Linked DNA regions of Bombyx mori. The protein of the gene in region 2 interacts with the protein of the main gene of each other region in a pairwise test. Links are inferred from orthologs where the notes say so. Each region holds a gene or a part of one and is shown on either strand. Other genes may lie near its edges. The genes, in order: tef2, DNA repair and recombination protein RAD54-like and Rad51.

What was found.
Region 1: the proteins of DNA repair and recombination protein RAD54-like (region 2) and tef2 interact in a two-hybrid assay, tested with the Caenorhabditis elegans proteins (2 studies listed by BioGRID). The link is inferred for Bombyx mori from reciprocal best matches to the Caenorhabditis elegans genes rad-54.L and eef-2.
Region 3: the proteins of DNA repair and recombination protein RAD54-like (region 2) and Rad51 interact in a two-hybrid assay, tested with the Caenorhabditis elegans proteins (3 studies listed by BioGRID). The link is inferred for Bombyx mori from reciprocal best matches to the Caenorhabditis elegans genes rad-54.L and rad-51.

The regions. Positions count from the first base shown.
Region 1 is NC_085125.1:13,069,597-13,076,751, forward strand, and holds the start of tef2 (translation elongation factor 2), read right to left. Parts: upstream 4,287-7,155; 5' UTR 4,190-4,286; coding exon 4,187-4,189; intron 3,852-4,186; coding exon 3,637-3,851; intron 3,144-3,636; exon of another isoform or gene 3,034-3,143; intron 2,992-3,033; coding exon 2,798-2,991; intron 2,420-2,797; coding exon 2,222-2,419; intron 1,186-2,221; coding exon 1,050-1,185; intron 1-1,049. UniProt on the Caenorhabditis elegans protein: Catalyzes the GTP-dependent ribosomal translocation step during translation elongation.
Region 2 is NC_085122.1:1,511,358-1,518,763, forward strand, and holds DNA repair and recombination protein RAD54-like, read right to left. Parts: upstream 4,837-7,406; 5' UTR 4,604-4,836; coding exon 2,306-4,603; 3' UTR 2,199-2,305; downstream 1-2,198. Other genes in the region: protein adenylyltransferase SelO, read left to right, coding at 1-127, 880-1,013, 1,621-1,743.
Region 3 is NC_085131.1:10,826,721-10,834,160, forward strand, and holds the start of Rad51 (rad51 homolog), read right to left. Parts: upstream 4,679-7,440; 5' UTR 4,483-4,678; intron 3,830-4,482; 5' UTR 3,554-3,829; coding exon 3,470-3,553; intron 2,931-3,469; coding exon 2,731-2,930; intron 2,360-2,730; coding exon 2,212-2,359; intron 1,507-2,211; coding exon 1,298-1,506; intron 1,126-1,297; coding exon 996-1,125; intron 678-995; coding exon 432-677; 3' UTR 1-431. Other genes in the region: kelch-like protein 26, read left to right, coding at 5,129-5,236, 5,403-5,552, 6,098-7,107, 7,287-7,440.

The DNA.
Region 1 (7,155 bases), on a different chromosome or scaffold from region 2:
TGCAATGCAGTAGTTGTGCTTGGATGATGACGTCATCCGCCTTCAACTACGTCAGTGTTAGCTGCTTTCTTGCAAGTTTTATAGAGCAATTACAGTTTCTCCATTTTTTCAATTTCCAGTTATTTAATTTATGTGACAACAGATTAAGGACCCTTAGCATTCAATTAATAGAAAAAAATCCAAATTACCATCTCGACTTCCAGAATCATTATGAAATCAAATCAAATAAAAAAAAAATTATTCAACATAAATGAAAGTACAGTCAAAACCGTTTACTGCGACATCGTTTAATACAACATACCGGTTATAATAACCAAGAACAAAGGTCCCGGCTGAATGCCATATGACCGCCTTATTAAAAATATTGCTTTCTACGACATTGGTAATAACGACATACCTCATAAAACGACCACATTTAACTAATATTTCGGAGAATTAGATCTGTTAGAACGACCGGCTAAGCTGTATTGTAAACAATTTGAATAAGTATCCACATTTGTCTTCAATGGCTTTTAAAATCAAGAAAGAAAACAATAGGATTTAGTTTAGTGTAGGGTCTTTTCTAATTCTTAGAAACAAAACACGTGCATGCGGTATCAAAGCCCGCTTCTTCATATCTTTTCAGTTAGTTTGTTACTTATCTATACACAAGACACAACAAAACTTTGTGGAGTTATTCCTGAAACTATCAAAATGTCTCTAAGAAAAAGAAAACAAATTAATATTGAAGAAAAACCGCGTATTATGTAAATATATTTTTCCAATAATTCCCTATCGATTTGTTTGTACTTGCACGATACACATTAAACATCACCGGTTGTTACGACTATCGGTTTTTACGACTGAATATGAGCAGTACCTTCGATGTCGTTATAACAGATTTTGACTGTACATACTTGATGAAAGTCAAAAGAACTACCGCCAATTCACAAAAACTAGCCTCTGTCCTGAGAAGAATTGGCAAGAAACTCAGCGGGCATTTGTTGTATTACATACACCCAGTTTATGATTGTCAGTACAATGATATTTTTACTTAAGTAAAACCTCACCTGTTCATAAGCTTGACAAGGTCAATCTTGAATTTGTCAGCATACATCTCAGAGAATTGTTTGAGGGTGAAAGCCCACCCATGAAGACCAGACCCGAAACCAACAGAGCCCTTGCTAGGGTCGACACGCACCTCACCTGATTTAGACAAAATGTATTTTAATTTTATATTCCCATTCTTGATGCAGAGCTTTTGTGAATTTTGGCTTGGCTATCCTGGTTTGCAAATTTGAGTATACTTGAGATACAATTAGGTGGGATCTGTCTTTAAAACGCAACAAGAATATTGTTGAAGAAAACTTTTTAAATATTTTTTAATGCATTGATAGGACCCATCTGGTGTTAAATCCACCAGGCAAAGACATCAAATTGTGAATGCGTTTGTGTGTCATTGAAAAACTTTCAAGACATGAAGTCAAATTTTCAACAGCATTAATATAATGGAGTCCCTGGTGGAAAAGTTTACAAACCCAAAGACGATTCATTAAATATGCACATATGTAAGCTTACAATACACATCCTATCATCCATATTTATGCAAAATTTATTACTTCACAGGTTTATTTTTATTACTTTATGATCCCTCTTATTGTGGAATCTGATAGTGCATGCTATAAGTATGTATTTGCTTTGAAATTACCCACCATTTGGAACATCAATATAATAGCCTGATAAGACACTGCCTTTAAAGTCCATAACTTTCTTTGAATGCCATTTATTATGGATTCACATCTGTCAGTATATTTTTTATTGAGTTTAATTCTAGTTATTATTTATAAACTTCAACTTATTAATTTATAATTTTGGATTACAAATAAAATATAATTTTTACAACCTACTTCTGTGCACAAATGCATTGTTTCTATAATTCTAATAAAATGAAAAAGTGAAATGTAAGTTTAATGGCTACAAAATATAAATCGTAGAGATAACAGGTGCGTCCGTGTATGACCTTGATGGCTACACGCTAGCGTCTATCGCGCGTCTTGTCACGTGTCCAAAACATGATATCAAAAGATTCAATGTTGTCCAACAAAAGCTGTGACCATCAACCGTTTGTTATTTGAAATTTATAGAAACTCCCAAAAATGCCAGAACAAACTCAAGGAAACTGTACAGAATCTTGTGATTATTGCAGATAATTTTATAGGAAGTTATTATTTTAAATACTCACCCATGGGACCACCATCATCGTTATATGTGGCTATAATGACGTTAACATTTTCTACAATACGCTGGAACGTCTGGTATAGTTCTTCAGCTTCAAGTTGGAGCTCAAGAAGAGCACGGTCCATTTTGTTCATGAACAGAATAGGCTTGATGCGCTCGGCAATAGCCTGACGCAGTACTGTTTCAGTTTGTACACACACACCTGGTTAACACAAAATTAAATTTCATTATAATATTTTTACATTGCTAAGTTTTTTTGTTAGTCTCGGCAAAACTGACTAGACAAATTTTGATGCAACTTTTTGAGCTTTACAGCTTACGAGTGCAATGCCCTTTTTGAGTAGAATAATTTTTGTTAATTGTAAACTGAGCTCCTGAGTTTCTGCCAACTATATATATTATATCAGATTTTTCAAGCATTTCACCCTACCTTGAAAGGTAGCTTTAAGTAATTTCATATTTAGTCATATTCAAATCTTAATGGAAATAGCATAAAGGGCTCCTCTATTACTGGTCATTAACAAATCAATGAGAAAGAATTAAATAAGATATTTTTATTAAAAATTAATATTCAACTTACCAGACACACAGTCAACAACCACAAGGGCTCCATCAGTGACACGGAGTGCAGCTGTTACTTCAGAAGAGAAATCAACGTGTCCAGGTGAGTCAATCAAGTTGATCAAGAAACCTTTCTCACTCTTTTCACGCTGGTCAGGGTTTGTGATGAATACTAAATCTTTCTCTTCAAGCTCGAAGAACATAGAGATGGCCCTGGTAATAAATTCGTGATATTAAACTCATGGTACTTTTTAATATTCCCAAATTTAGTTTTTATGATTCATCAGATGGCCGTTCTAAAAGATCTTCAATATTCATATCAGTCTTTTAATGGTAAAGAACATTCATCATTTAGATCAGAGAATTTTTAGTAAACTTGCTATTAAATTAAATCCAAGTGTTGAACAAAACATTACTAATGTATTATTATTTGTCTTTTCCTTAAACATGATTAGTTGGTAAAATGTTACTTAATTACTACACATTATTAAAATTTTATGAAATTTAATCACTTTTGCAATCCCAAAGTAAGAAAATGACTGACCTGATTCTATCGTGGTGTATTTCATGATAACTAAAACTTAACCTAACAGTGTGGTCTAACCTTTTCGGATTCCTTTGCAAATTTCGTAAATAATAAAAACCATTTCTGAGAAATCTTTTTCGACACATCAGCTACTATAAAGGCACGTTATATTTATTTAAAACGACGCAGCTGGTACACTCATGTGGTCTTTTGCATTAAAGCAATAATAATTTGTATATAACGAGATTTTTCGTTAACTTAACCTCATAAAAGTTCAAGGGCAATGACGTTCGGTGCACCATGTGGCAATATGTATTTTTGAAGCTACTTACGTAGATTTAATGGTGATGCAACGGTCTTGTTCGTCCTTACGCGTGTCAGTGAAACGGGTCTCTCCGGCTCTCGCACCAGCAATGATACCGGCCTTGGAAACCAACGAGTCCGTGAGGGTTGACTTGCCGTGATCGACGTGGGCGATCACAGACATGTTGCGGATATTCCGCTTCTTGTCCATCATCCCACGGATCTCGTCTACCGTGAAATTCACCTGCACATACGAAATAATAGCTCATCATGCTGACACAACACAGATGTTAGATTTTAGACATTTAACACTTAGATTCACGATATTGTAAAGGTTTAGTTTTATTATGTTGTTTAATGTTTAATTATATTTGAGATGAGTGATTGTTGAAGTCTCGGTACGAACACTTTAAGCACCACATCACTTGAAAACGTCATCCAATTCACAAAGACCTGACCCGAACAAAGCAGAACTTTTACAGTAACTATTCCGTCAAATTAATAAAATATGCACGTGAAACGTATGAAAACATTCACCGGGATACTTTACTGGTCACTAAAACTGATTTCCTTACTCACCATTTTAGATGGTTTATGATTTTTGTTCTATTAAACCAACTACCATACGCCAGCAATGGCGTACGCTTTGAAAAAGGACCCTTGCGAGGGCCGGATGTCGCAGGTCGACGTCAAATAAAAAGAGTCATAGACAACATATAATGCTGCCAGACGCTTACTCCGAGATGTCAACACGAGTTATTGAGCATTAGTCGATTTTCAAGATTGTCTGTTAGTAATCTTTTTGAATACTATGACGCGTAACAGATTTGGCTGAATAACAATTTGTTTGGTGTTTTGTGGCCTAAATTGATCTTCTGAATTCAAGCTGATTGTATTGAAACTATATTCAATCAAACTAGATGGAAATGAGGTGAAATAAAATATCAGTAAAATGGTTATTAGATTATCGTCATCGTCATCAAGTTTTGATCTTTCTTATTTTGACATGAAAGACCTTTTTTAACAACCCGACCGCCTTCATAATAACTGCTTTTGATTTATTTTAAATCTCCGCAAGGATGACCACATCTCTACATAGCGCTTAAAAATAAATTTTCTCGCTTTACGTCAGCGATATTGACAACATGCACGGTAGGTACGGTACTTTAAAAATTTACATTTTTCGCATAATATATTCTGCGTTCTTCTAATAATCTATTACTTGACTGTCCCACGTACATCTCTAATTTGAATTTTACTTCCTCTCAATGTCAAGATGATCACTGATCACGTATATAACTCTCAATGAAGGGTTCGGCAACTTTTGCTAAATGAATTGGCAGGAATATCTAATAAGTAGACTTACTTTGTATAATTTTTTTGTCATAAATATATAATAAATATTGAATATATGTGGAATGTATGGATGTATATATATAGTGCTGTATGAGCTGTGTATATTTATGCGTTCTATATTTTATGAATTAGGTTTTTTCAGTAAAAGCAATGCATCTTTCAAAATACTTTACCAACTTTGGTTGACTGGTAGAAAAGATCTTAAGCTTTTAGTCCACCTCTGTAGTCTTGTGCAAAAAGAAAATTAGTAAAAAAAAATTGACAAAATATAACAATTCGTACAACTTTTTTTCTGGCGTTCCCATTATTTATTAAGTTCATATTTTTGCTACTGTTTTTCAGTCTTAAACGTGTAAGAATCATGACTAATTATTTATTTTGTATGTGGTAAAGTAGATAATTTACGAAAATGCACCGAAATTGTTGAATATGGTTTCCATGACTCGACTAAAAAGTTCAATAAACTCTCAGTAAATTTTCACAATTTTTTAAAAAAATATTCATTTTTCTTGTTTATTTCTTATTTATTTCATTTTCGATTAAACTTTTCATAGCACACGCCCTACTTTTATTACAAAAGATTTGGTTGTAAGGATGTCCCTTTGCCTGTCGGGTTTGACTGCTTTTTAGTAATTTAAACACCTCCCCATCAGCCGGGACAGTCTACAAAGGTCTATGCTATTATCATGTAAAATAATTTGACTTGATTGGCTTATTGGTGTAATTTTCAGATAGATTACATCTTCACAATTTATTTAACCCATTTTTTTTATTAAGCCTAAATGAGCGCCACCTATTGTCTAGTAGAATGTCTAACATTGACTCGTTGTTGATAGATGTCGCTACACTCCAAAATTATCACATTTTAATAAAAACACTCAGTTTAATCATGTAACTAGATCATACTTAATATTTGAGATGCTAGATGATTTTTATACTTTTCGATGTAATTTTTTATTGCAAATATAATTAAAAAAATAGCTAACAATTAATGAAAAACTACAATGAACATAAGCATTTAATTGTGTTTCGTTATTATTAATTTGAATTTTACTGTCTGGTCTTCACTGGAATTCAGAATGAGGGCAAATTTAGAGGGTTGGGTTGGGGAGTATTTTGATTGCTATCGATAAGGGTGGCAAATGTAAGAATAGGGCTTGTACAAATTGTATGTTTTTCCTGTTGCAATAAAATTAGTCCCGTTTTAGGTAATCTAATGAGTGGATATTCGCTACTCGCTTTAGTGAGCACTCCATTGTTTCGTGTTAATACACGAATAGATAAGTTCTAAACATAAACATTAGTACCTTTCTTTTATTACATATAAATCTATATATATAAAAATGAATTGCTGTTCGTTAGTCTCGCTAAAACTCGAGAACGGCTAGATCAATTTGGCTAATTTTGGTCTTGAATGATTTGTAAAAGTCCAGAGAAGGTTTAAAAGGTAGATAAATATCAAAATTCCTTTTGTTTGTTTTAAGTTTATTTTATACTAAAGTGTAGATCTTTTATTTATCGATTGAAGCACTACGAAGTCTGCCGGGTCAGCTAGTAAATATATATAAAATCTCTTGCTAAGTGTGATTCAAATAAATGACCAAAAATATAGATGGTAGATAGTACTCGGTTTTATTGTTAAAAAAGAGTAATTTAAAATGCATATACGTTAATAATTCATTATAAAAGCCCGAAATTAGAAATTAACGAAATAATTATTTATAATTAAATTATTCGTTTCTCCACCACATACTGAACAAAACATCCGTATGGTAGCAGTTTACAAACGATGCTTAATATCAAAATAAATGTATTTTAGATAAGTGTATGTATGTACATAAATGTTTTATAGAATTTAATGTATTAGAAAAAATACCGATTGCCTATACGATCGAAATTCGACTGTAGTTTTTAATTGTTTAAATGGTTGGACGAGCTCACGACCACGACCCACCTAGTGTTAAGTAATTAACCATCGACATTAAAAACGTAAATGCCGCCACCCATATTGAGGCGTGAATCTAAATCTCAGCTGTTTACAGTACAACGGCTGCCCCGCACTTCAAACCGAAACGCATTACTGCTTCACGGCAGAAATAGGCGAGGTGGTGGTACCTACCCGTGCGGATTCACAAGAGGTCCTACCATCAGTAATTACGAAAATTATAATTTTGCGGGTTTGATTTTTATTA
Region 2 (7,406 bases):
TTGGAACCATCGGAGCTGGTCAGCGAAGTGAAGATATCAGAGAAGTGGTCGCTCAAACGTTTGTCGTCTCACGCTTCGTGGGGCTGCTGGCTCGACCAGTATCGTGAGAGGCTCGACAAGGAAGCTGGTGGGTTTTAAAATCGGAGCTCAAAGTCGGAGGGTCCTAACAACGGTTTCAGTAATTTCATGGGACATCTGTAATTTCCTTAATTGTTCTTATAGGCAGACGAGCATACGGCCCACCTGATGGTAAATACTTACCGTCGCCCATGGACATCAGTAATGTCAGGGACAGAGCTAAGCTGCTGCCTATCTAGTTTAACTGCTAATATGTATTGGCAGTATTCTATTTATCTTCATATATTAGTATCTCGTCCCTGCTTTCTGCCACTGCCACAGTATAGTTCAAGCCTACACCGGTGGTGCAACCATGTAAACATTCTGCTGCGAAGCATTCATGTCAACCGAATTAAGGGGTCGCATAGTAATTTTAAGCCTCCACCATGTCTCAAGCCGACATTGACTTAGAGATGTCTATGAGCTTGGGTAACCAAACGTGATCCAGTCACCCTAGGCATTCGAACTAATGGAAAAAAACCTATACCTACTGTTTTTGTGAATACTGTATTCAATTTATTTCGTCACGATTTAAGTAACTGAAGTAACTTATAATACGCGCTTATTCACAAACACTACACAAGCGCAACGTGTGAACGTGTTGAACGCGAGCTACATGGTAGGCGGAGTGGGGGTGTTAGGTTTTATTTTCGTTACGGAATTTCTTGATTCCGTCGCCGCGCTCAAAGCCCGCGATAAACGCTATGCAATGGCTTAATATTATTTTATAATAATGAGGGTAAACGTAAAATGGTTGTGCAGTTGACGCGAGCTCAGTTGGAATGTTTGAGGATGAGCGTCGGAGGCGCATGCTGAGCGTCAATCCAATTTACGTTCCTCGCAATTGGATCCTGCACGAAGCTATTGTTGACGCCGAAAAGGATGACTTTGGAAAAGTATAGCCTAACTATCTAAGCACCGAACGCGACGAAGGGTTTGTCGTGCAACTTAACCCACTAAGTTTCACGCCGAATCTTCGCAGTGGGTCGCAATTTCGATCCGGTAGTAGTATCAGTGAAGCACTGTTCTTGCTAGGGCTAGTGTTAAAAAATTCGTCAGGCCGAACTCTGTGAGCTCACCTACACCAAGCGAGCGAAACTAACAATATAACCCCTCGAGGTTACCTATTAGGACAGGTAGGAAAATAATAATTAAATAATAGCAAAATTACTTCCATGGATCGGCCTTTTTTTTTTATTATTGCCTAGATGTGTCGACGAGCTCACAGCCCACCTGGTGTTAAGTGGTTACTGGAACCCATAGACATCTACAACGTAAATGCGCCACACACCTTGAGATATAAGTTCTAAGGTTTCACTATAGTCACAACGGCTGCCCCACCCTTCAAACCGAAACGCATTACTGCTTCACGGCAGAAATAGGCGGGGCTGTGGTACCTACCCGTGCGGACTCACAAAAGGTCCTACCACTTTAATAATAGAGTCGATCTCTCGACGGTTTGCGCTCAAAGGGTTATCTTTCTAAATTATTCACCTATCTCAGGTACAGTTCTTGTTGGAAGTTATAAGACGTCCCTACGACATTAACCCAGAGGCTGAATTACGTGGTTTCTCAGCCCAACCACCTCAATGGGCGTACGCTTTGAAGATCAGCTGCTCAACATAGATTACGTGATGTGTGAAATTTTTGTCAAATAATATCAAATTATCAATTCAGTGTACATTTTATTGATTTTCCCTCCAAAAAAGACTTAAAAAGTTTTATTTCTGCGGATTTACGATTTAACATTACATCCACGATAATAGTATATTTAAATTATCCATAGATGATTGGATGGTAGTCTGGAAGAGATCGCTCTTAGCGATAAGACCGTCTATAGTACTTTATTTTGTATTTAATGTTTCGCAATGTTTCTTTTGTTGGTGTACAATAAAAATACTCTCTCTGTCCCTCCAATTGATCTAGTGCAATGTATGAAATAAACATTAATTTCCTAACAAGTTAACACATATTGAAATAGTTTATTTTTTTTTTTGTGCCACCAAACATATTATACCAAAATGTCTGAGAAAAATGTGTACTGATTCTTTCTTTACGAAGCACAATAATGAAAACATTCAAAATTTCAAATAAATATATTTTCTCCACAATTAACTTACAAATAAAACAGATATTTACAATCAACAAACTAAATGGCTTAATTTTTTCAATGATTACCCACAAAAAATCATGAATAATCTTCATCAGCACTGTCATCTGGTTCAGAGTAATCTTCATCATCCATGATTCTTCTTTTTTTACTTACTTGTATATTTTCTTTATCTTCTATAGTTATCTCCTTAGCCTCTGTTTTTGCGGACCGATGATGGAAAACAAAGGATATACTTTTTGCAACGTCCCAGCATTGCTTCAAGACCATGTCGGCTATGTTTTTCTTGTCTGCACAGTGGTACCAATTGGAAATATCAGATGTGCAATCAGAATTTTCAGGTGGTAGTGTAACTTGAATATTGTTTACACACCTTTTACATTTAAACTTACTATGAGTGTCCGATAGTGTGTTCTCCTCCAAACGGAATAGGTCTTTCAAATCATCTGCTGTGAAATGTCTTAGAGACTCCTCATTTTGGTCAACCACTGTCTCGCTGAGTGCTTTTTTGTGTGCTTGCCTTTGGAATATTTTTTCTTCAATGGTTCCAGTAGCCAAAAGTCTGTAAATATAGCATGGTTTTTTTTGCCCATCGCGCCATACCCGTGCCATCGCCTGCTCATCATTTGCAGGATTCCAATCAGGGTCAAACATGATTAGCCTGTTGGCTCCAATGAGATTCAAGCCACAACCACCAGCTTTGGAACTTAGCATGAAAATCCACTCTTTGGAGTCTTTATTGTTAAAGTTTTCCACCACCTTGGCTCTCTTTTTTATTGTCATTGAACCATCCAATCTTACATATTGATATGTACGTTTTCGACATAATTTCTCAAATAAATCTAATGTCTGAGTATAATTTGATACGAGCACAATTTTATCATCTGTATTCATTTTAAGATTTGCCAGTATGCAGTCTAAGATCATTAACTTGCCTGAATATTCTGGTCTTACATCTTTTATATCATAGTTACTTGGGAGATAGTCTTTTGCTTTTTCGAAACCTTCTGTTCTTTCTATAATCTTTTCATAGATCAAGTCTGGGTGGTTACAGAGCTTCTTCAAAGATGTAATGCTGGACAAAGCACTTAGCGTATTGCTTTTTTCTCCAGTGCCTGTAAACTTGTTACGAATTGCATCAGAATTTATGAAATTCTTGTAAATTTGAGTCTGTAGTGGAGTCATTTTTACACAAATAACTTGCTCAAATTTAACTGGCAAATATTTAGTTAATAGACCACTAGTTCTTCGGATCATGCACTTGTTCACAATTGAAGTTAATGTTTGCAGGCACTCCTGGGCTTTTTCTCTCTCAGGTTGACTTGCCATTGCATCTTGTCCCTTCAAAATAGGATTTTCATATCTCTTTTTGAACTCATGCGCAGTCCCTAATATTCCTTCATTAACAAAATGTACTAAACTAAAATATTCAGTTAAATCATTCTGGATTGGTGTACCTGAGATTAATATTCTCCTTTTAGCCTTCAAACCCATTAATGCTTGGTATGTCTGATTTTCGCTGTTCTTCAACCTATGCCCTTCATCACACAGGACTAAACCTACTTCAGAAGAGTGCAATATATTTGAGTATATCCTGAAAGTTTCATATGATATGATTAAGACTGGTGTGGCAACTCGAGTCGCAGAATATGTGTTCATAAATTGCTGTAGTTTCAAAGTTACTTCAGCTTTTGAACCCCCATCCATAGCTAAAGCATTTATCCTTTGCGACAGCCACTTATGTATTTCATTGTACCAATTTTTTACTAAACTGCTGGGACATACTATTATGGCTTTACATATTGTTGGTTTACAGTCTGGCCCTTGACGCAGTAAGGTCCACAGTAAAGTTATGCACTGCAAGGTTTTACCTAAACCCATTTCATCAGCCATTATACATCCATATGCATTTTCTATTTGTTTCCCAGTAACGCAGTCATACATGAACTTTACTCCTTCTCTCTGGTGCGGCCTCAGTATGTTTCCAAGTACTGGATCAACTACAACAGCAACTTTTATGTCATTAGGATTCATTTTCATTCTTTCGTGTTCCGGAATGGTTGGAGGGCGTTCGAGGACCAGTGAATTGGGTTCGTCTGGGTCGTGGAGGGCCCTTCTAAGTTGCGTTCGTTTTAATCCTAAGCTTTTACTGCAATACGAGGAGACATAGTTTGATATAGGAACTTTAAAGGGCTTACTAAGTATTTGACGGATAATGTTTTCGTGATCTGAAGAAGGTAAAGTTTGAGAAGGAGTTTTCTGTGCTAGCGGTATTCTTGTGCATTCTCGTTTCTTTCGCTTGGCGGAGTCTAGTAATGGACTCTTGAAAACACTCTCTCCAGAGCCTATTTGGCTTGGCGCTCGACTGCGGCGCATCTTATTTTACACGTTACTGCACATATTTGGGAACTTTACTCAATGTTTTCGAACTCAGCAATTTGCGCTATTTAATGTAATCTCCTATTGATGTTTTCACTTTAGTAAGAACGATATTCCTTCATTATTTAACGCAAACAAGATCGGACTTGTTTGCTTTTTGAATTTTTAATAATTTTTATTAACATTGACATTTCCAACTGAAACTGTCAAACTCGTAGCAGATAATAAATTAAATTGACGTTAGTTTCATTTTGGACAACGTGTTTTTCAAGGTACCTGATTAATTACTACTTATAAGTTTAATGTTACTAAAATATATTTGTATACACGAGCCTATTCCTGAAAATCCTGTTATGCCTTTTCTTTTTTTTTCGGGCCGGTGCGGTGGCCGGACCTTCTATGAGGTCCCCGTGGCTAGGGGGCGCGCGGGGTATGTGGGACTTGACGATCTGCAGATGTTGGAAGCAGACTGCGGGCCCAAGGAGTTTTAGTTCTCACCTTCATCCAAAAGTTGCAGCGTGACAGCAACTTCAAATATAGATGCATCGATGGAAGCGATCTTGTCCTTAACATTGACATATTTATAATGGAGCTGCGACCATGACCGCTTTGCGAAGGATTATTATATGAGCACCATTAAGAAGAAACTTAAACTACACATATAGAAAACAAAATGTTGTAGGTTTCGTAGAGGTCCATCGCCAATTTTTAACAAGACGCTACACGATGGTAGAAGCCACTAATATCAATTAGTTTGAATATTACCCTTTCTAAGGGTCAATTCCCACTGAAAGAGCAGCGGCGCGCAGCGGCCGTAAGAGCAAGTGACTGAGCGCGGCGCCGCAAGGGGCAGTGTGGCGCCGCGCGGGGCAGTGCGGCGCCGCGAGAGGCAGCGCGGCATCCCGAGGCGCCGCAATGAGCCTCTGCGTGGTAGCTTTGAAAACTAGTGTGCGATCTACTTCACTCAAGGAAAGTTGTGTGGCAATAAATATGGTGGATTTGGATTTATGTATCATAGCACTGGCTGTAGAAGAAGAACAAGATACCCTCTAATAAAATAACGCGAAATGCGCAAGCGGCAGGGCGAGCGGGTATGAAATGGTCGCTCGCGCGCAGCCGCGAGTCTGTCAGCTGCACCTCGGTCGGCCGCACGTCAGCTAGCTGCGCCGCGATCAGCCGCGCGGCGCCTCTTTTGACTAGTCGGTAGAAAGCTCGTGCAGCCTCGCGACGCCACGCTACCCCTCCTTTGCCTTCAAATGAACTTTTAATCACGTAGATAAGATTCAAAATAGTTTGTAATATTTTGCCTCAAAAAGACGCTGCCGGCCGCTGCTCTTTCAGTGGGAATTGACCCTTAACTTTAATATTAATTGTATTGTCTATCTATGTACCTTTTCTGTATATAAATTATACAACACTTTTCGATTTCTTAATTATTTATTATTAGTTGCATTGCAATAAAAGTAAACATTTTATGAGAAAATACTTTATTAAAAAAAACACTTGAGTCATACCTGTAATTATATGCATCACAGACAATTCTTAAAGTTTAGGATCAAAATTGTTTTCAACAGTAATATATAAATTAAGCACATATATGGCTGGTAACATTTTCAGTAAGTCACAGGACATTTTCAATGTAGGCACTATTTTTCAAACAACTCGGCAATTGAATTTAGGCTAATTAAAAAATATATATTTATAGTAAGTATAGCATTATTTGCACTAAGTAGATACAGGTAACCTCTCTAACCCTCCAGTAAATACGTTCCTACAAATTCCTGTGTTATGTGAAACCGTGTTATATGTATGTAATTTTTTTACCTATCATACATAAAAAAATTGGCAGTAAAATTTTATTCCGATATATTGTGTGCTCATAGTGGACAATGTAATTTTTTAAATAATTTTAAACATAGATTTTGTAATCGTTTTTTAGAAGTACCGTGTTACAGAAGGGGTTACCTGTACAGTAGAATGTAAGAAATCCTTCAAAGGCCTAAATCGCGCCAACGATTTCATAGATAATCTTGCAATACAAACGTCCCGGTCAAGATTCTGAGTTTGCACTATTACGGCAAAGCCTGCCAATGAGCGGTTGATGATTCTCGGAAGAACTGTGCAGCCTCATAAATATGATGAAAATTTATAAAGAATGTCAAATTCGTATAATTCTCGACATTACAAGCCCATAGACAAAATTTCAATTATTGACATTATAATCGATACCAACGCATTCAGATATTTCCACAAACACTTTTAGGACATATTTTTTAAAGTTACTCATTAATAAATAATAGTTTAAAGACAAATCTCCAAGGAAATGACAAAAAACTACACGACAAATGTATTGTTCATCTAAAAGAGACTGTTATAAGTTCAAAACAAGTACTTTTGCCTGTGACTATACTGCTACCTACACACGCAATGACGAAATAATGACAGAGGATTTGATGGATCTTTGCTATCAAGATGGAAGATCTGTAGGTACAAAAAAAGAGATAGCAAATAACTTTCTTCTGAATATTTTTTTTTCACTTTTAATCAGATGTTTTAATAAACTTATAAAAGTAATCCTCTTTGTAGAATATTATAGTAAGTTTCCGATATAAATTTACCATAAATTTAGAATGATTGTGAACAAATGTGACATTATCATGAATCGATTTAGAAGATGTCTAGTTTTATGGTAGCACAAACGGATTACTTATAGTTTGTGAGAAAAAGAAAAAGTCGTTTTTAACGAATCAAAAACAAAGTAAAAAAACATTATACATCATGCAGCATGAAAGACTCACTG
Region 3 (7,440 bases), on a different chromosome or scaffold from region 2:
ATAAATTGGATTTATTTTATTGGACCTTTATAATTTTTTGGAAAATTATAAATGTCCAATAAGTCGCGATGAATAAGTCCGTAAGTTATTATTGTATTAACAAAATAAAACAATTCACACATCACTACGCTACCAACATGTTCTAAGCTCATTCACACAAATTGATGTTGCCATTTAAATGAGCTAAAATAATCTACCAAATTATATAAATTAATTAAGAGTGTATGTTCCAATATACTTATTTTTCCATCATATTTTTTTTTTGGATTTAGAGCCATTTTCTTCATTTTGAGTGGTTATATATATTATGTACATTCATTGTTTCTTTTCCAGTTTTTATTTTATTTTTTTCTTTGTTAACATACACTACTACGTTGTTTAAAATGATATTTAAGGTTGATGGCAGTGATGATATCACCTTAATTAAATTATTATTCCTTAGCATCCGTGATGCCTTCAGCGCTAATCGCAAACATAGCTTCTGTTTCGGGCAAGCACGGACTATCGTATATTTTACACACGCGATTATCACCTCTACCCTTCCGTAAATAGAGTCTAGTTGTGGACGCGTGCGCTATGATATGACCTCCGATTGGTTTCTTGGTATCAGCATTGAAAACTCCTACAGCATCCACTTGTGCGACCACTTGGTTTGTTATGATTACTGCTACTCCAAACTGGAATGACAGATTTGAAACTTTATTGGTAACTCATCAAAATACATGTACATGAAATATATACACACTGCCTCTCAAAATATAACACAATCTAACTTTTACGTTTATCACATAATAGGATTAAAATTCACTTGAAAATAAATACCATCCGTGATTTGAATTCGAAATCATTATTCAACTGTTTCAATAGATAGAAATATTTATAAAGAAAATCCAAATTGTTCACAATACGATTTTAATTATGTAAGCACTTTACTAAATTACAGTTGTATTTTCTGAAATAATTAATATAGGAAACTACGTGGAATATTTACTTACCTCATCAGCCAATCTGAGCAACATTCTCATGAAACGACCCAGATGTAGTTGTCTAGAATTCAGTTCCCCTCGTCCAGAATAGTCTGTCCTGTATAGAGCGGTTGCACTATCAACTATAATTAAGGAATATCTGAAAATTGTATGCACGTAAGATAAATTTTTAATGCGTAATAAATAAATTAATTGAAAATCAAATTATTTAATATATATATAGTATAAAAATAATTCACAAGTAAAAACAATAAAAAATTTATAACAAATTCAGAAAAACAATTAAATAGATCTATTATAAAATAATTTACCTTGACTCTGCCATCATGGCGCAAGCTTGCACTAGCAATTGGGTCTGATGGTCTGTGTTATAAGCTCTTGCATATGCAACATTGTCCAAGACTGCCGCACCTTCCATACCGTATCGCTGTGCAACGGCCAGCAGTCTTTCCGGTCTGAATGTTCCTTCTGTATCGATGTACATGCATTTACCCTCTCCACCAGATTGTTCAATGGGTAGCTGGGAAAATTTAATAAGGCCAAGGCAATTGGTTTTCAGTAATTTAAAATTACCAATATGGGATTTCTATTTAAAAAAATAATGAAATTATTAGATATTTTACATTTTACAATATTACATAGAAGCGACATTGTTCATTGAACAATTTTTTCTCAATTTTTTTTGGCTGCCACTGAGAAATTACACCTGCTGGGTGGAAGATCTTCCCTTTGTTGTTAACCTCTAAACATTTTTTACATCAAAATATGACCTTACAGTTCTAATATTTTAAATGAACATTTATGACTATTATTTTTTTTTTTATTTTTATTATTAGTATTATTTTTTTTTATTTACTAACAATCACACCACGTTAACTAGTCCCGTGATAAGTTCGTAAAGAACTTGTGTTAGAGGTACCCCCTTGTGTAGTGACCATGTCACTTACCACTACACCAGACGGCCGTTACGTTACCTATATTATACATTCATCATCAACATCATTCTCCTGCCCTACTCCCAGTAACCTGGGATTGGCGCAATATGTTTTCTCCTACCATACCTCTATCATAAACCATTTCTTCGCTCACTTCCGCTCTTATATGAAGTCACTTACACATATCGTCTTTTATGCAATATTACACATTATCACATATCATTATAGTATACATTATTAATATTTATTATTATATACTTTTATTGCAAATTGGTTTAATTCAATTGTACCTGGCAGGTGACTGCTAATGTGTGACATAATTGGGTTTTGCCAGTACGGAATTCACCAAATATTTCAGTTATAGAACCAGTTTCTATACCACCTCCCAGTAATCTATCTAATTCCTTTGAACCAGTAGTAAGTTGTATTATTTCAGCCCTGGAAGAATTCAAACAATACTCAATGTAGATTTGGTTTAATTAAAAAAATCTAATACAAGTATTAGCTGCAGTTATTTTCTGTGTCAAGAATATGACTATACATTACTAGTTCGATACTGGGATTTGAGCTGTGTCCCTTATGTCAGGTCCAATAATTGTGTCATTATAGCCTAAGGTAGATACATAGACATAACAATTTATGTAACAAAGACGGGGTACAAATCCTGCAGGAAGGTACTAATTTTTTTGCTTTTTTACATACTTTGCATGTGTTAAATGTTTTCCACAACTTTGTACTAACCTTAGCCATATTGGCGTTTCATTAATTAATAATAAAAAATATAAATAAATAATTTTAAAGGTACCTACCTCTTTTGATGAAACTCAGTAGCTGTTGTAAATCCCATTGGCACCAATTTAGATGCTTCAGCTAATATTTTATCTGCCTTCGCTTCAGATATCCCTTTAATTGTGATTAGCCATTTTTTTGGAGCATAGGCAACAGATTCAACAGTATGATATCCCGCTTCCTCAAGCTTTTTTATATCTCCTGATGTGATGCCATTGCCCTAAAATAAATTATTCCATATTTTTATTATTTAACAAACAAATTATCACAATCCAAATTTAGATATATATATGATGTACACAATGTTGCAATGAAGTAAGGTTGAACGATTAAGTAGCATCAAATGCAATACAACTGAGAATTTGACTTAATATGAGCATAGACTCATGTTGTTCTTACAGAACGTTTTTGTGTCTTCTGGAGATCTATTTGAAAATTCTTAGAGCAGATAAACTTGACCCTCTTTTACCCTTGTTTTTTCTTTTCTTGAGAGATCTTTTATTTGGAATGTAGATATCTTACTCTCCAAGGCAGGATATGTAGATTTACTTAAGCATAAATAGATAGGATTCTTAGGAGCACTTTATTATCATCCAATATGTTTATTTATTTATTTCATATACACATTAAAAAGAAATATAGTTAAGAGAATGGAATAAATTAGAATTTATCTACAGTATAAGTTGCGCATTGTATCCAATAAGTCAGTTCAATCCAGTAATATTTGTAAGCAAGTTATAGCTTGTCACATGACGTCACCTCTAATTTACTGATCAGCTGTGGCCCGCATTCGTCAGCATCTTCATCCAAAGAAGTCGTAGTTGCTGAAGCAGTGGTATTCATTATTGTCCGTGGCTTTCAAACAATTACCGGCTCATTTAAAAATATTCAAACTTCAGTTGCTTATAAATAACTTTACAAGGTTAGGTGTCTTTGGAGTACACGATTTGGATTATAAAATAATTTTAACTAATTTTTTTTTTATTGTTTGTTAGAGCAAACTTGTAAGTAACATACGCGTTAAAATTTCAATCACTATTTTTATTTTTAAAGTCGACACTGAAGTCTGAAGACATCCGCTTATTTTTTTAAGAGATTTTATGACCTGGTAACTAAAACCTTTAAGTCATGTCTTAATTTAGTTTATATTCTTATTTTTATGAAAAATGATAATATGAGGCCTATAAAATCAAAGGCAGCTAAATCCAAGTCTGTCAAATATTCAGGTAAACTGCAAAAATCAGCCCTAAACACGTCATTACGGATCCTCCCGATCCATCGAAGTACTGCTCTTGGTAAGGCCAGTGTTAGCAACACTCCCGGTTTGAGAAGCTGAAATAGCTTTGTTCGGATAGCTACGATATTCTTTAATTTAAAGCACATTTTAAGCACATAAAGACTGAGAATATTACTAATAATCTGAATTTTAAATGATAAAACTTCGTTTATTAGTTCTTAGTACAGAGTAAAAATAAATTTTTTGATCTGAATTTGTTAGAGATTTAGCTGCATTTGTTATAACATGAAAACACTAAAGCGTGTCCAACTAACTAAACAAGATAGCGCCATTGTTAATCCATTTTGCGACATTGAGGCGTTTAGCTGCCTTTGATTTTATAGGCCTCATATGGAGTGAAATAAAATGAAATGAAGATGATTAATTTGTGACATTAATCAATTGAGATGAAATTAAATGAGATGAAATGGGATGAAATATATGATGGGATGAATATGGGATGAAATATAATCTCAGAAAAATGGTGGTCATTTACTGAGATTTTTTCAGTGGACTTTTTGGAGGACCCGGAGAAGTTACGTCCAGCGGCTTTGTTTCACTTTCCCACATTTGTGCACTTTTACAGATATGAAACAGTTAATAAACCACTGCTATTACACATTTAAACCTGAAGAAACACTAAATAGACAAAATGAAACAAATCACCCAACTTTACTCCTCGCGTTCCCGCCAAAAAGTCACATCCGCTTAAATGTCAAGATCAATCATAGATGTACACATGCTGGCCGTTTTCCAATTACAGCACAAGAGCGCATTATGCGGCATAATGCTCAACTAAGCTTCAGCATAATTCGGCATTGTGCGTCACTGAGTCACATTATGCTCTGTAATTAACCTTTACTTAATGGTAGTTTTCTAATTAATGTTTAATAATGGTGGTTTATTAACTATTTAGTATCGGTGAAAGTGCACAAATGTGGGAAAAGGAAACAAATCTACTGGACGTAACTTCTCGGTATCTTCCAAAAAGTGAAACGGAACTACCTAAATAACCGCCATTTTGTTGAGACTATATTTCATCCCATATTATCTTGTTTCATTTAATTTCATTCTAATTTATTAATGTCTTAAATTAATCAACTTCATCTCCTTTTCATACCTTCGCCTTTCCAGTTTGAAAAATGGAACCTATTACTCAAAATCAGCTGTTAGGTGCAACCACTGGTCTATGGGTGCAACTGACAAGTGACAATTGCTCCCTGCGTTGTCGTAAACATAGAAACACGAATGTAGGTAAACTAGGTACTTATTAACTCCATGAGGTAAACATAAACATACAGAATACCGTACCCCACTGCCAACGAATTTATTTAAATTTTTGCGGGTTAGCTTTTTGATAAAATTGATTTAACTCTATTGAACATTTATAACATATGATTATTGGATTTTAATAAGGAGATGGAGGACACTCAAGAAGTAACACTTTTAATAGAAAATCAGAGATTCACGGCGAACAAAAATGTTTTGTGCGAGTACAGCGACTATTTTCGCGCAATGTTCAGTGGAAACTATATTGAAAACGAACGACAGGAAATAAAAATTGATGTAAGGAAAATTATAAATTATGTTAGCTAAATTAAATTAATGTATAAAATGACAAACAATTAAAACAATAATTATGGATTTAACTCTATGAATAATCGCAAAATGTTTAATTTTTAATCATAATTATCTAGTAGTAGTGGGTAGTAAATTGATAATTTTGCGATTCCTTGATGTTAATGGTACCTCAATCATACCTCATTGTGGAACGTTTGGTGAGGGTAGGCTGTTGACAGCTAACTATTCTATTTATAATATTCTATGTATAGAACGTACCGTAGACGTAGTGTGGCTACCCACACTAGCTCCCTCGCCTCCCACACGTTGGACAGACCACCTATTGAGGTATGCGGGATCTGCTGGACGCAAGCAGTGCAGGCCGATCATTGTGGTTTGGGAGAGGCCTATGTCCATTTGAGGACATCTGTGGGAATAAATATCTACCTACAATATGATAGTGTAACTTAAAAATAAAAAAGGACTGTAAACAAGAAGAACTGTAAATTACTGAATATTAAAAAAATTACTCTTTCTATATCCACTTCCAGATGGTTGATGCATACTCAATGAACATGATACTTCAATACATGAGAATAGGTTTGATAGATCTCTCTGAATACTCACTGACAACTATTGGAGAATTGTCAATCGCAGCGAACTTTCTTCAAATAACAGAATTAATTAAGCAGATTGAATACTGTTTAGATCTCCATCTTTCTGTCTCAAACTGGATGGAGACAATGATTATAGCAGAAAACTCTTCTTATACTAAATTAGAGCAACTGAGTGCTGCATTTGGATTACTTAATTTTAAACAAATGAAAAAAGAGTACATTTTAAATATTCATAGACTATTTTGGTATTTATCACATCCATATTTAGATACTGATAATGAATTAGAGGTTTTTAGATTTGGTTACGAATGGATTATAAATTCAGAAACAGGGGCCGATGCTATATTGATAGTTTTAGGATGTTTAGATATACAAAGACTGAGTCATAATGATATCAAAGAAATAAAAATCCTTATAAAGGATTTTGTTGATAGTTTGCCTCTTAAAGTAGTTGATTGTATTTTAGAGATTACTGAACACAGTGAATTGTCTATAATAACTTTGACTGAAAGGAAAGATGAACTATGCGAAAAGTTCACTGCCAGGGTATATATTGAAGTTTTTAAGTTAGTAAGTGCAAGTGTTAATCGTAAGCTGATATTCACACCCACAGTACCAGTCTGGATAGTCAAAGATACAAAACCTGAATTGATATCGCATAATATGTATACATTTAGTGAAGATACAGGCCTTGAAAAATGGTTGGAAGTTGCAGAGAAAAACTTATGGGGTTGGAATGTGGTAGCATGGGGTGCCAACAAACTTGTTCTGGTTTGTGGAGAACATGGTAGAGGTACGAGTGTATTCATGAAAGATGTTAAAGTATATGACACTTTCCGTAAGGAGTGGATCTTGCACGGTGTTGAATTACCATCGAGAAGACATGGTGGAGTTGCTATTATGGGAGACTCATTGTTCATTATTGGAGGTGTAGGTGGTTTTAGGTTGGTTTCTTTTATTTATTTTAACTCTGTATTCTCTGAGCATCAAGACAATTCGCAGTTATGTGCCTATTTTGTTGTGAAATAATAGTTACTAAAGGTAATATTTTATAAATTGTTTTGTTCCTTGAAATTTTGATAAAATCACTTTACAATAATAAATTTTGCTTTTCTCATTTTAGAGTTGTACTTGATACGGCTGTCATATATGATTTAAAACAAAGAACACACAGGAAGATTGCCAAATTACCAGATACAATACAAAATCCAGCTGTGTGCGTACACAATAATTCTATTTATGTATCAGGTCAGAAGAATATTTACCAATATGAGGAC